2 linked regions of the Solanum lycopersicum genome follow. The protein of the gene in region 2 interacts with the protein of the main gene of each other region in a pairwise test. Links are inferred from orthologs where the notes say so. Each region holds a gene or a part of one and is shown on either strand. Other genes may lie near its edges.

Evidence for each region. The genes of interacting proteins can lie anywhere in the genome.
Region 1: the proteins of NF-X1-type zinc finger protein NFXL1 (region 2) and Zinc finger transcription factor 61 interact in binary tests that used the Arabidopsis thaliana proteins (3 or more experiments, as listed by UniProt). The link is inferred for Solanum lycopersicum from reciprocal best matches to the Arabidopsis thaliana genes NFXL1 and MAC5B.

What each region holds. Positions count from the first base shown.
Region 1 is NC_090809.1:59,942,596-59,948,940, reverse strand, and holds the start of Zinc finger transcription factor 61, read left to right. Parts: upstream 1-2,076; 5' UTR 2,077-2,241; intron 2,242-2,354; 5' UTR 2,355-2,379; coding exon 2,380-2,484; intron 2,485-3,595; coding exon 3,596-3,865; intron 3,866-4,105; coding exon 4,106-4,329; intron 4,330-5,565; coding exon 5,566-6,345. Other genes in the region: mitochondrial carnitine/acylcarnitine carrier-like protein, read left to right, coding at 339-730, 926-1,427.
Region 2 is NC_090802.1:64,151,716-64,157,950, forward strand, and holds the start of NF-X1-type zinc finger protein NFXL1, read left to right. Parts: upstream 1-2,252; 5' UTR 2,253-2,489; intron 2,490-2,577; 5' UTR 2,578-2,620; coding exon 2,621-6,001; 3' UTR 6,002-6,235. UniProt on the Arabidopsis thaliana protein: Mediates E2-dependent ubiquitination. Confers resistance to osmotic stress such as high salinity. Promotes H(2)O(2) production. Negative regulator of some defense-related genes via an salicylic acid (SA)-dependent signaling pathway.

The sequences.
Region 1 (6,345 bases), on a different chromosome or scaffold from region 2:
CTTTACCTGGATTCTTTTTGGTGCTATTTACTCATAAATTTGTGGTCACTCCACAAACACCCAAGCTGGACTTGTTATTACATCAATGACGCCTAGTGTTGTTTACTATATAGGTTCATGGCTATTGACTGTAAAGATTAATGTTCTTTTTTCCACTGCACCAACTTTTAGCAGAAGCTTTAAGCTTAACTTTGATAATATACTCTTGAGGTCCGCTCCTTCCCAGCAAATCATTCTTTTTCTACAATTGAGAATTGTAAACAGTGAATACAGTAGCTAATAGCTTACATTTAGACTGAGAATTGTTTTTCCCCCTTTTCTTTTTTTCAGATTTTCCAATGGGTGATATAGCCAAGGATTTAACAGCTGGGACTGTAGGTGGTGTAGCACAATTGGTCGTTGGTCACCCTTTTGATACCATAAAGGTCAAGCTTCAAAGCCAGCCTACTCCACTTCCAGGGCAGCTTCCAAAATATTCTGGTGCTATAGATGCTGTCCGGCAAACATTAGCTGCGGAAGGTGCCGGGGGGCTGTTCAAAGGCATGGGAGCCCCACTTGCCACTGTTGCAGCCTTTAATGCTCTGCTCTTCACCGTGAGAGGTCAAACAGAGGCATTCTTGAGGTCTGAACCTGGAGTCCCTCTTACTGTGAGCCAGCAAGTTGTTTGTGGGGCTGTTGCCGGAACTGCTGTCTCTTTTCTTGCTTGCCCAACTGAGCTTATAAAATGCAGGTTTGTTTCTAGTGCATTATAATTCAGCCTTCACAAAGTTTCCCTTGCTTATTTTTGCCATGTTGTATCCTTAGTAGTGACATGTGCATTATCTACTTTTCAACTTTTTGTTACCATTGTTCGGTCAAATGATCAAAACTACTAGGAATCAACTTCTATACTTGTCAATTTACTCGTTAAATTACATGACTGTAGATTGCAAGCTCAGGGTGCATTGGCAAGTGTAGGCTCAGCTGCTGTGGCAGTGAAATATGCAGGGCCAATGGATGTAGCAAGACATGTTCTTCGATCCGAAGGAGGCATGATGGGTCTCTTCAAGGGCTTGTTTCCCACCATGGCACGTGAAATCCCCGGAAATGCTGCTATGTTTGGCATGTATGAAGCACTAAAGCAGTACTTTGCAGGAGGCACAGACACTTCAGGGTTGGGAAGAGGTTCTCTTATTGTAGCAGGTGGCCTGGCTGGTGGTTCCTTCTGGATTTCGGTGTATCCAACAGACGTGATCAAGAGTGTAATCCAAATCGATGACTATAAAAACCCAAAATTCTCTGGCTTTTTTGATGCATTCAAGAAGATCTTGGCATCGGAGGGAGTCAAAGGCCTTTACAAGGGCTTTGGACCTGCTATGGGACGTAGTGTCCCTGCAAATGCTGCATGTTTCTTGGCGTATGAGATGGCTAAGTCTAGTTTGGGATAATTCATTGTTGATGGGGAAGGATTTTAGACATTGTTATTGATAATTCTTTGAACCTAACATCTGCTGATATTCTGTAATTTCCAGTTCAACTTATTCTGCTTTTATAGATTTAGGCCATTTTTTTCTTTGGTGGCTTCAAGAAGCAAATTGTCTTTCAGAAACAAATTCTCTCTTGAAAAAAAAGGGTGTCCTTTCATGGTTGTTGACTAGACGATCCGAGCAATAAAATTTCTCAATTATAACACAAGGTACTGTTTAGATTGAATTATACTATAACAAGGACAGGATGTAAATTAATCATTGAAGTAGTTAGGGAAATGACTATCATAATCATATTTTATATAGTATTTTATGATTGAGCTGATTTAATAAACGCATGCAATACATGAAAGGCTTACGAATGTAGTACTGGACAGCTTTACCTACGACATTTCCTATTCCTACTTTTCATACAAAGAGAATGGGCTTGTGGATTTCATCGATGTATTGTTGTAATATATATTTATATATAAAAAAAATTATTTAAATTACTTTTTTTTCTATTTTTATCATGATAAAAATTAAATTTATTTTTTTAATTAATTAATAGTTTTAAAATTCAAAATAACGGAAATCAACTTGAAAAAGGTCTTCTTATCTCTCTTCGCCCGGCTGAGCTGGGCTATTTGCCTCGCTGTCCTTCGTCGGAAGGTTCTTCTCTCCGCCGTCGACAACAGCCATCTCCGCCGTCTCTGAGCTCTATATAAAATTGAGTCTGCTAAGCGAGATTTTGGCATTCAAATAACTTTCACTAGCCTAAGTTGCTCTTAATCAGGTACTATTGATTTCTCACCTTTTTTCAGATTTCTGTTTCTTTAGGTTAAGATTCTTATAGAATATGTAATAAATAGCTTGGAATGAGCTTTTAAAAGTTCATTTGTTTTGCAGATTGAAGTTTAGGAATTAGAAAACGATGGCGCATAGGTTGCTGAGAGATGCTGAAGCTGATGGATGGGAACGATCTGATTTCCCTATTATATGCGAGTCGTGTCTCGGTGACAGTCCCTATGTGCGAATGGTAAGTTCTTCGTTTCAATTTTTGTTATGGTAAAGGCCGTGAATGGTCCTAGGGTTTATAATAATCTCCAGTCCTTTGGTTGCTGACTACAAATTGAAAATATACTCGAGGAATGTTTTTCTTATTTGCATTGCTCCTATCTGCTATTGAGATTTGAGGTGGAAGGGTAGGAAACTTTATTCGGCGAAGAAGTTGAGAAATTTCTGGTTGTAGTTATAGGTGAATATAGGTGCAAAGAGGCTAGAGTTGATGGAGATTGCAGATTCAAATAGGCAACAGTAAAGTATGTGAATAAGGCGAAGTTGAATGATTGGTTGATTGATATGGTTTTAGGGGAATATAGTAAGGTTACTCTGAATACAACTAGAAGTTCATTTTCAGAATTTTTTAGGTGATTTTTTAAGAATTCATTTATTTCAAGTGCCCCAATTTATTAATACAGTAGGAATGATCAGTAGTTGTAGAAATATATGTGTTTATTGTGCAAAATCAAATAAAGAAGGGGGGGGGGGGGGGGCTTTATTGAAGTTTAAAAGGGTAAAGACTGTCATTTCTCAACCTTGAAAGATCACGGAGTCCAATTCCTAATGTAGCGTTCCTTAAGAATGTGAAGTGCGTGAAGAATGTGGCTGGATCCTTTGATGGAGGCAGCAACGTAGTGTTTTATCAAATTTTTAAGTAAGTTGTTTGTCAGATTTGCTCTACAGGAAAGGCTATTAGCCTTTCTGTAAGGACTGTTAATCTCTGGTAGCATTTATTTAATTGCTTATCTTTGTGCTAGCTGCAGTAAACTGTATTTTGAATTCTATTTACGTGTAGCTAGGCAAGACCACTTACATTATAATCATTGTGGCTTTCTGAAGCTCTTTGTTTGGACCTTTACTCATCGACAGCTTCTCCTGATTTGCCACTACTTTTGGCACATTGTTACGATGTTTACTCTCTCCATACATATTAGGAATTAATTTCTTGCTCAAAGAGTCTCCATTTTGGCAGTAGAATAAGTCGGGCCTTTGACTTTGTTTTGGTTTTAGCTGCATGTCCTCTACTATAATCTTTCTTTCTCCAATTTCACTATCTGACTTTTGATTTTGTTATGGTTTTTGTACAGACAAAAGCAGATTATGACAAGGAGTGCAAGATCTGCACGCGACCCTTCACAGTGTTCAGGTGGAGGCCTGGTCGGGATGCGAGATACAAAAAGTCTGAGATCTGTCAGACCTGCAGCAAATTGAAGAATGTTTGTCAAGTTTGCCTGTTAGATCTTGAATATGGTTTGCCTGTTCAGGTCCGAGACACTGCTCTCAGTATCAACTCAAATGATGCCATCCCAAAGAGTGACGTAAATAGAGAATATTTTGCAGAGGAGCATGACCGAAGGGTATGTGATTTACTAAGTGAAAGCCCAACTTATATTTAATTTACTTACCCCACCCCCCACCCCGCCCCACACACCTCCGATCCAAATCTTGCTGGGAACTACTTAGGGATGGGGTGCAGTTTTAAATTAGGAGAAGAAATTGAACCTGGTGAAAATAAGGGCTTAGAATTTTCAAGAAGCACAAAAAAAAAATGCTGTTTTCTTGGTTTTCCCCAAAGTAATACTTAAATTTTTGTCCAGGCAAGGGCTGGTATTGATTATGAATCTTCATATGGAAAAGTCCGTGCAAATGATACTATCATGAAGCTTCAAAGAACAACTCCATACTACAAGAGAAATCGGGCACATGTTTGCAGTTTCTACATACGTGGTCAATGTACAAGAGGTTTGGAGTGTCCTTACCGGCATGAGATGCCTGAAACAGGGGAATTGTCACAGCAAAATATCAAAGACCGTTACTATGGGTATGCCAGTCTGATTCTTTGTCGCTGATGTGAAATTCTCCTTTTTGGAATGATGCTCATATATCTGTATTGACATATTTGTGATAGGGTTTCTGGTCTTTAATTTTGCTTGGGGTGTGAGAATGGCGGTTCACTTTTCTGTTGATATGTTCATGAAGACTTACTAGTCACTTTTTTTAGAAGACTTACTAGTCACTGTAGACACATTATCTGTTTCCCTCAGTTGCAATGCTAATATGGGATGAAGGCCAGCGATTCATGGCCACACAATGTTATATAAAATAGTAAATAATACATCGTTGTGGGATTACACTGGGTATGTTGTTGTATAACTAAATAATACATCAGTTCAGCAAGTAGGAGGAAAAAAGGGGAATTGACCCAGAGATTATGTTCTCATTTATCATGTTAGAAAGGAGAAGCAAAACAACTTAAGTAAAATATATCTCAATGTGGGAAGACAGTATGTGGACTTGGTCAACTGACTCAGGAGGTGAATAGCTTATATTGAGTTGCTTGTTTACCCTCATTGAATTTATAAACAAAAACATATATAAACATGTAAATTTATCTCAGATCTGACATACAAAGTCGTCCTGCTGTCAATATATTATAATCATTTTTTTATAGTTTTGCAGCTAAAAAATGCTTGTGTGAATGTGTGGTGTAATTGCTTTCTACCACTGGTAGTCTTCATTCCCATACTTTATTCCGTGACTTATTCCTTTCTGGTTTCTCAATCCTCTCTGCTTGTGTTTGAGTTATACGTTATTTAAGTATTTTTTTTTTTGGAGTAGAGCCTTGTTTAAATTTCTTTAATGCCATCTTGTTCAAATCCTTGCACTCGATCACCAATGGAAGTCCTAGAAGAAATGTTTTGTGAATGCTTTTTCATGTGATTTAACAGCTTGTTGAGGTTCAAATAATTGCCGAAACTGGCAAGAATGCAGAACCCAGTCATCTCCATGGTTATAGACATAATTAAGTTCAGACACTTAACTCTAGATAGATACCATTTTCTTCATGACCAATGAATTAAATACTCTATGCACTTTTGAAACTCATCTTACTTTGTCTCTCCAAGATTACGTGATGGCTAGGCTGATTATTGATGACATCTATTTGCTGGTCACTTTTCTTTTGCTTATTATATACCCTGTTCTCATTTACAGAGATGTATTTATCCTACATTTTTGACTGACAAAATCTTCACTGATGTATCTTAAATGCTTGCAGAGTCAATGATCCAGTGGCTTTAAAGCTACTTAATAAAGCAGGTGAAATGCCTTCATTGGAGCCCCCTGATGACGAGAGCATTAGAACCCTCTATGTGGGTGGTGTTGATGCAAGAATCACTGAGCAGGACCTTAGGGACCATTTTTATGCACATGGTGAAATTGAGTCCATTAAAATGGTGGTCCAGCGTGGTTGTGCTTTTGTAACTTACACGACTAGAGAAGGTGCGGTGAAGGCAGCTGAGGAACTTGCAAACAAGCTGGTGATAAAGGGCCTGAGACTGAAGCTACTCTGGGGGAGACCTCAAGTTCCCAAGCCAGAGTCCGAGGTCTCTGATGAAGCAAGACAGCAGGCTGCTCTAACTCACAGTGGTTTGTTGCCTAGAGCAGTCGTATCACAGCAGCAGAATCAGCCTCTTCAGCCACCAGGCACTCAGGACCAACCTCCATCCATGCCTTACTTCAACATACCCCCGATGCCTCAGCAAGACAGACCATATTATCCATCAATGGATCCACAAAGGATGGGTGCCGTAATTGCATCCCAGGAAGGGGCATCTAGTTCAACTGCAGGATCTGGTCCTGGTGAAAATAAAATCGGTTCTGATCATCAACAAGGACACCATTATGCATATCCACCTGGAGGGCCACCACCTCCAGGTCAATTTTACCCACCTTATTATCGTCCAGCTTATGGATATATGCCACCACCTCCTCCACCTTATCATCAATATCCTCCTCCACCTTATCAAGCTACTGCACACCCACCACCTAGTGTTCA
Region 2 (6,235 bases):
TTGCTATCTTATGTGACATAGCATGGATGCTTTGCTAGCTAATGTTTTGTCTTCATTCTCCCTTTCTCAACTTGACCACGTGCAAGTAAGTAATCGTAAATATCGATCGAACTCAGTAACTTTCATCTAACTTTAATTTAACTGTTACGAAATTAGTAGGGAATAAATAAATCTTATTGCATTTTTTTGTTTTGAATATGTATAAATTTTTCACTTAGTATTTGGTAATTTAGCAATCATATATTTCATATGTAAGATCGAGAAATATATGATCAAATATTAGATTTGAATATAATATTATGTTGAAATATATGTTTTAAGAATGAGATATTACTTTGGAAACTTACATAAATATATTATAATAAAAAAATATTTACCGTTTATAGTAATAATATTTTTTTTCACTTGACCACTTTTAATTTATTTACTATACAAGTTTAATATATATTAAAATATGTGATAATACATTTATCACATATTTTGATACACTTATAATACAATGTGACTGTTTTTTACCAAACAAACATAATATATTTAAAAAAAATATAATTCATATATATTGCATATATAATTCACTTTTAATATATATTAAAAATTTATCATAATATTACTATAAATGATAATAAATAAAAAAATCACTAAAATCAGTAATTATTTTAAAAAATGTATTAATTCGCAATTTTGATGGATATTGGGCTCTCAAAGCAAATTGGGCCTCGAATACCTACCAACATTTTTCAATTGGATCATGTGCTCAAATGCAACTTCTAATCCGCTGATTCATTTGTACTTTTTTTTAGGGCAAACAACAATTTTTTAAATTTAAATTTATTCTTAAATTTTTTATAATTACAAAACTTTCTAAAAAAGGATATAATTTTATAAGCGTTGATACATTACTCTAATGCACGAGATACACTAATTTGATGCGCGAGATACATTTTATACATGATACACTAATCTCATGCGCGAGTTGCATTTTATACATGATACACTAACCTGATACACAAGATATACTAATCTGATGCGCGAGATACACTAATCTGATGTGTGAGGTACATTAATGTGATGCGCGAAAATGAGAAATTTTAAAAATTTATAAAACTTATAGGGGATAATAATAATAATAAGTAAAATAAAAGGCGAAATTTCCGTAATTAATCTACCGTAACCACTATCACCATCATATTTCAACCAAGAAGAAAGTCATTGACTATTCATAAAATCATTACGCAACTCCATCGCCATCAATTTGAAGATGTTACAAAATATTCAAAAGTAATGGAATTGTACATCGTATTCATGAGTTAAATCTTTTTGTACTTTTTGAGAAAATAACTTTTAACTTGTGTCATTTAAAAACATACCTATTAAACGCAAACGATTGACAATATTATGACACGTGTATTATATTTATTTATTTTTGGAAAAAAGGATAACCCGCAATTTTTATAACCTTTGTTGCCCTTCGGGTGAGCACTTTGTGCACACTGAGTAGTAACCCCCTCTCTATAGTAGCCTGCAAACTACACAGGGATGTAAGCCGTAAGCAAGTCTTATGTGACAAGCTCGAATTAGAAAACATTAAGAGGGAGATCGATCCCTAGTCATCCATATCGCCGCTACTCCATCACCATAACTATTATCGCCACCATATTTCGACCAAAAAGAAATCCACTAACCAATCATAAAAATCACCGCACAACTTTAGCATTATCAACTCAAAGATATTATAAAAAAAACTCTAAAAGATACTGAAGCTTACAATGCCTTCACGAGTCAAAGATTTTGTGCATCTGAAAAAACACTATAACTAATTATGTCAGTTAAAAATGTGTCAAAATTAAACACAAACGACAAACAAGACATAACACATGTATTATAACTGTTTTACGCGCGCGAAATACCTAAATTTTTCTGTCCATCTCCTTCATCTACTATTTACCGCCACCACTCCATCACCATATCCAACCACCACAAAAGAAAATCATCAACCAATTACAGAAATCAACATACAAATCCATCTTTATCAAATTCAAAACTCAAAAACCATTGAAATTAACAATCGTATTCATAAATAAAAAAAAAATTATCTTACATTCTTGGAAACTTTATAACTAGTGTAGTCTCAACTTCTTCTTCCACTTAATTTTGTGTTATTAAATCTTGAAATAATGAACAAATAATGTTGTTAGAAATGTATAGAATGTATCACAAAATTATAAAACAAAAAAATAATTAAAAAGAAAATTGGGACCGACGTACCAGGCATCCTGTCCAAGTAAAATATGTCAGCTGTCCAATTTTTGCTTGTTCACCAAGGCGAATTTTTAGCCCTATTTATACCTTTCATTACTCCTCTTTTCTTCATCCTCCTCCGTCATCTTCTCCACAGAAAATTCAGTAGCCGACTCCGGAGAATCAAAACTCTCTTCTGTTTCTGGATTTTGTCTTCGGCGGGCTGTTTGATCTTTGTTTCATCGAATCAGGTATTGAAAAATTTTCTTTTAGGGTTTGAAATTGAATTCCTTTTTTTTTTCAATTTTCTGAATTTTCCCCTTTTTTTTTTCTGTATAGAAATCTGTCGTTGGATAGGTTAATAAGAAATTCAAGTCAGAATATGAGCTTTCCTGCACAAAACAATAGAAGGAATAACAACAGTAATCGGCCTAGAAACAATAATAATAATCCTGTTGTTCAAAGTGGTGGTGCTCGTCGTGAGTGGGTAGCTAGGGGATCTGCTCCAACCAACACTGTTCCATTTTCAGCTGCCCCTGTTACCCCGGTAACAACAACCACTGTTGTGACCCCTGTGTTTGGTGGGAATGGAAGAGACAATGAGAATGTGTCATCTGCACCGTTTAATCGATTTCAAAATCAAAATCAGACCTATGGGGAACCTAAATTCAATAGGGGGATGTATGGGAATCAGAGGGGAAGGGGCAGGGGGAGCTATAATCATCAGGAGAACAAGATGGAGAGGCCGGTCAGGGAGGTCAGTGGGAGGATTAATCAAGAGCGGGTGAAAGATCCTAATTTGCCTCAACTTGTGCAAGAAATAGAGGAGAAGCTTTTGAAGGGAAACATCGAGTGCATGATATGCTACGATATGGTGAGGAGGTCTGCGCCCATGTGGTCATGTTCGAGCTGCTACTCGATTTTTCATTTGCATTGTACCAAGAAATGGGCAAGAGCTCCAACTTCTGTTGACACATCTGCGGAGAAGAATCAAAGGTTTAATTGGCGTTGCCCAGGTTGTCAATCAGTCCAACTCACTTCGTCCAGGGACATACGGTATCTTTGCTTTTGTGGGAAGAGGCAAGACCCCCCTTCAGATTTATACTTGACTCCACATTCATGTGGGGAGCCTTGTGGCAAGAAACTTGAGAAGGAGCTTCCAGGGAATGGTCTGAGTGAAGAGGATCTTTGCCCTCATGTTTGTGTCTTACAGTGCCATCCTGGTCCTTGTCCACCTTGTAAGGCATTTGCTCCAGCTAGAAGTTGTCCCTGCGGAAAGGAAGTAATTACCACTCGTTGCTCTGATCGGAAGTCCGTTCTTACATGTGGACAGCAGTGTGGTAAGCTTCTTGACTGTGGGCGTCATCGGTGTGAACAGACTTGCCATGTTGGTCCTTGTGGCCATTGTCAAATTGTTGTGGATGCCCATTGCTTTTGTAAGAAGAAAACAGAGTCTCTTCTTTGTGGAGATATGGGTGTGAAAGGAGATATCAAGATGGAGGATGGCGTCTTTTCATGCAATTCAGTTTGTGGAAAGAAGCTTTGTTGCGGAAATCACATCTGCCGTGAGCTCTGCCATCCAGGGCCATGTGGGGACTGTGCTTTGTTGCCTAGCAAGGTCAAGACATGCTGTTGCGGTAAAACCAGCTTGGAAGAAGAAAGGCACAGTTGTTTGGATCCAATTCCAACCTGTTCCAAGGTCTGCGGAAAGCGTCTCCGTTGTGGGGTACATCGCTGTGAAGCTGTGTGCCATTCTGGTGACTGTGCACCATGTCTTGTTCCTGTGACTCAACGCTGCCGCTGTGGGTCAACCTCTCGAACAGTGGAGTGCTACAAAACGCAGGCAGAAGATGAGCAGTTCACTTGTGATAGACCTTGTGGGCAAAAGAAGAACTGTGGAAGGCACCGTTGTAGTGAGCGATGTTGCCCTCTTTCTAATCCAAAAAATTCCATAACTGGTGGTTGGAATCCTCATTTTTGTTCAATGCCGTGTGAGAAGAAGCTTAGATGTGGGCAGCATTCTTGCGAGTCGCTTTGTCACAGTGGTCACTGCCCTCCCTGCCTTGAGACAATTTTCACCGATTTGACTTGTGCTTGTGGGAGAACATCAATCCCTCCTCCGCTACCTTGTGGCACACCTCTTCCTTCGTGTCAGCTACCATGCTCGGTTTCTCAGCCTTGTGGCCATCCACCTACTCACAGCTGCCATTTTGGAGACTGCTTGCCATGTGCTGTTCCTGTAGCAAAAGAGTGCGTTGGTGGACATGTAATTTTAAGGAACATACCTTGCGGGTCAAAGGACATCCGATGTAACAAGCTTTGTGGGAAGACCAGGCAGTGTGGCTTGCACTCATGTGCTAGAACTTGTCATCCTTCGCCATGTGATGTTTCTGCTGGACCTAGCAATGGCTCCAGAGCCTCTTGTGGGCAGACGTGTGGTGCTCCTAGAAGAGATTGCAGGCACACATGTACTGCTCTCTGTCATCCCTCTTCTTCATGTCCTGATGTTAGATGTGAGTTTCCTGTCACTATTACTTGTTCTTGTGGCCGGATTACAGCAAATGTTCCTTGTGATGCTGGAGGTCAGATCGTTGACTCTGTTCTCGAAGCCTCTATAATCCACAAGCTGCCTTCATCTCTTCAACCTATTGAAATAAATGGGAAGAAGGTTCCTCTCGGTCAGAGGAAGCTTACTTGTGATGACGAGTGTGCAAAGATGGAGAAGAAAAAGGTTCTTTCTGATGCTTTTGGTATAACCCCCCCTAATCTTGAGTCCCTCCATTTTGGTGAGAATGCAGCTGTCTCTGAAGTGCTGGGGGATCTTCTTAGGCGGGACGCTAAGTGGGTGTTGTCTATAGAGGAAAGATGCAAGTTTTTGGTTCTTGGCAGGAGCAGAGGGGGGCTGAATGCGCTCAAAGTTCATGTTTTCTGCCCAATGTTGAAAGAAAAGCGGGATGCAATTAGACTGATAGCTGCAAGATGGAAGCTTTCAGTAAATGCAGCTGGTTGGGAGCCCAAAAGATTCATCGCTGTACATGTTATACCCAAGTCCAAAGCTCCAAGTCGTATACTTGGTCCTAAAGGTTGTACTGTCAATAACATTGTTCAGCCTGCTGTTTTTGATTCTCTGGTGGATATGGATCCAAGGCTTGTTGTAGCTTTGTTTGACTTGCCAAGAGATGCAGACATTAGTGCCTTAGTTCTCAGGTTTGGTGGTGAGTGCGAGCTTGTCTGGTTGAACGACAAGAATGCCTTGGCTGTGTTCAGTGATCCTGCCCGAGCAGCAACAGCTATGAGAAGGCTAGACCAGGGGTCGGCTTATTGTGGTGCTGCTGTAGTTCATCAGAGTGGTGTTGCATCAGCAGTGGCATCCACTACTAATGTTTGGGGAGTCTCTGGAGGAGCCAAGGACGCGGGAGGAGTTGCATCAGCTCTTAAGGGTAATCCATGGAAGAAGGCTGTAGTCCAGGAGCCTCATTTGAGAGAGAGCCTATGGGATGCTGAAGAATGGTCCAAGAATCCCACTGATTTAGCAGCCCCTTCTGCCTGGAGGGCGAATGAAGCTCCACCTACTGCCTCGTCTAATAGGTGGAGTGTCTTAGAGCCTGAAATTGCTTCCAGCTTGCCCAGGACATCTATTACAATCAAGGAACCTGTTACTGAGACACAAGTGGGGGGTTCAGTTTTGCCTCCCAAACCTCAAGATGTGGGGATCGATGATATGGCAGATGTAGTGGACGATTGGGACAAGGCTTACGACTGAGAGCTTCTGGAAATGCATATTGTTTTTGCTGTCCAATTATTTCTTTCATTTTTTCTTTTTAGTGCTCAGACAGGAGCTGGTTTAGTTATGTTTAGTAGCCCTGTTTTAAAGGGAGTGATGTTTCCTTTATGGTTCGAAAACACAACCCTTTTTAGCATTGGTGCCAATATTCCCAATGAAGGGCAAAAAATATTGGTAGTGTAATGTACCTTTTGGTACGTGTTCTAAGATGCT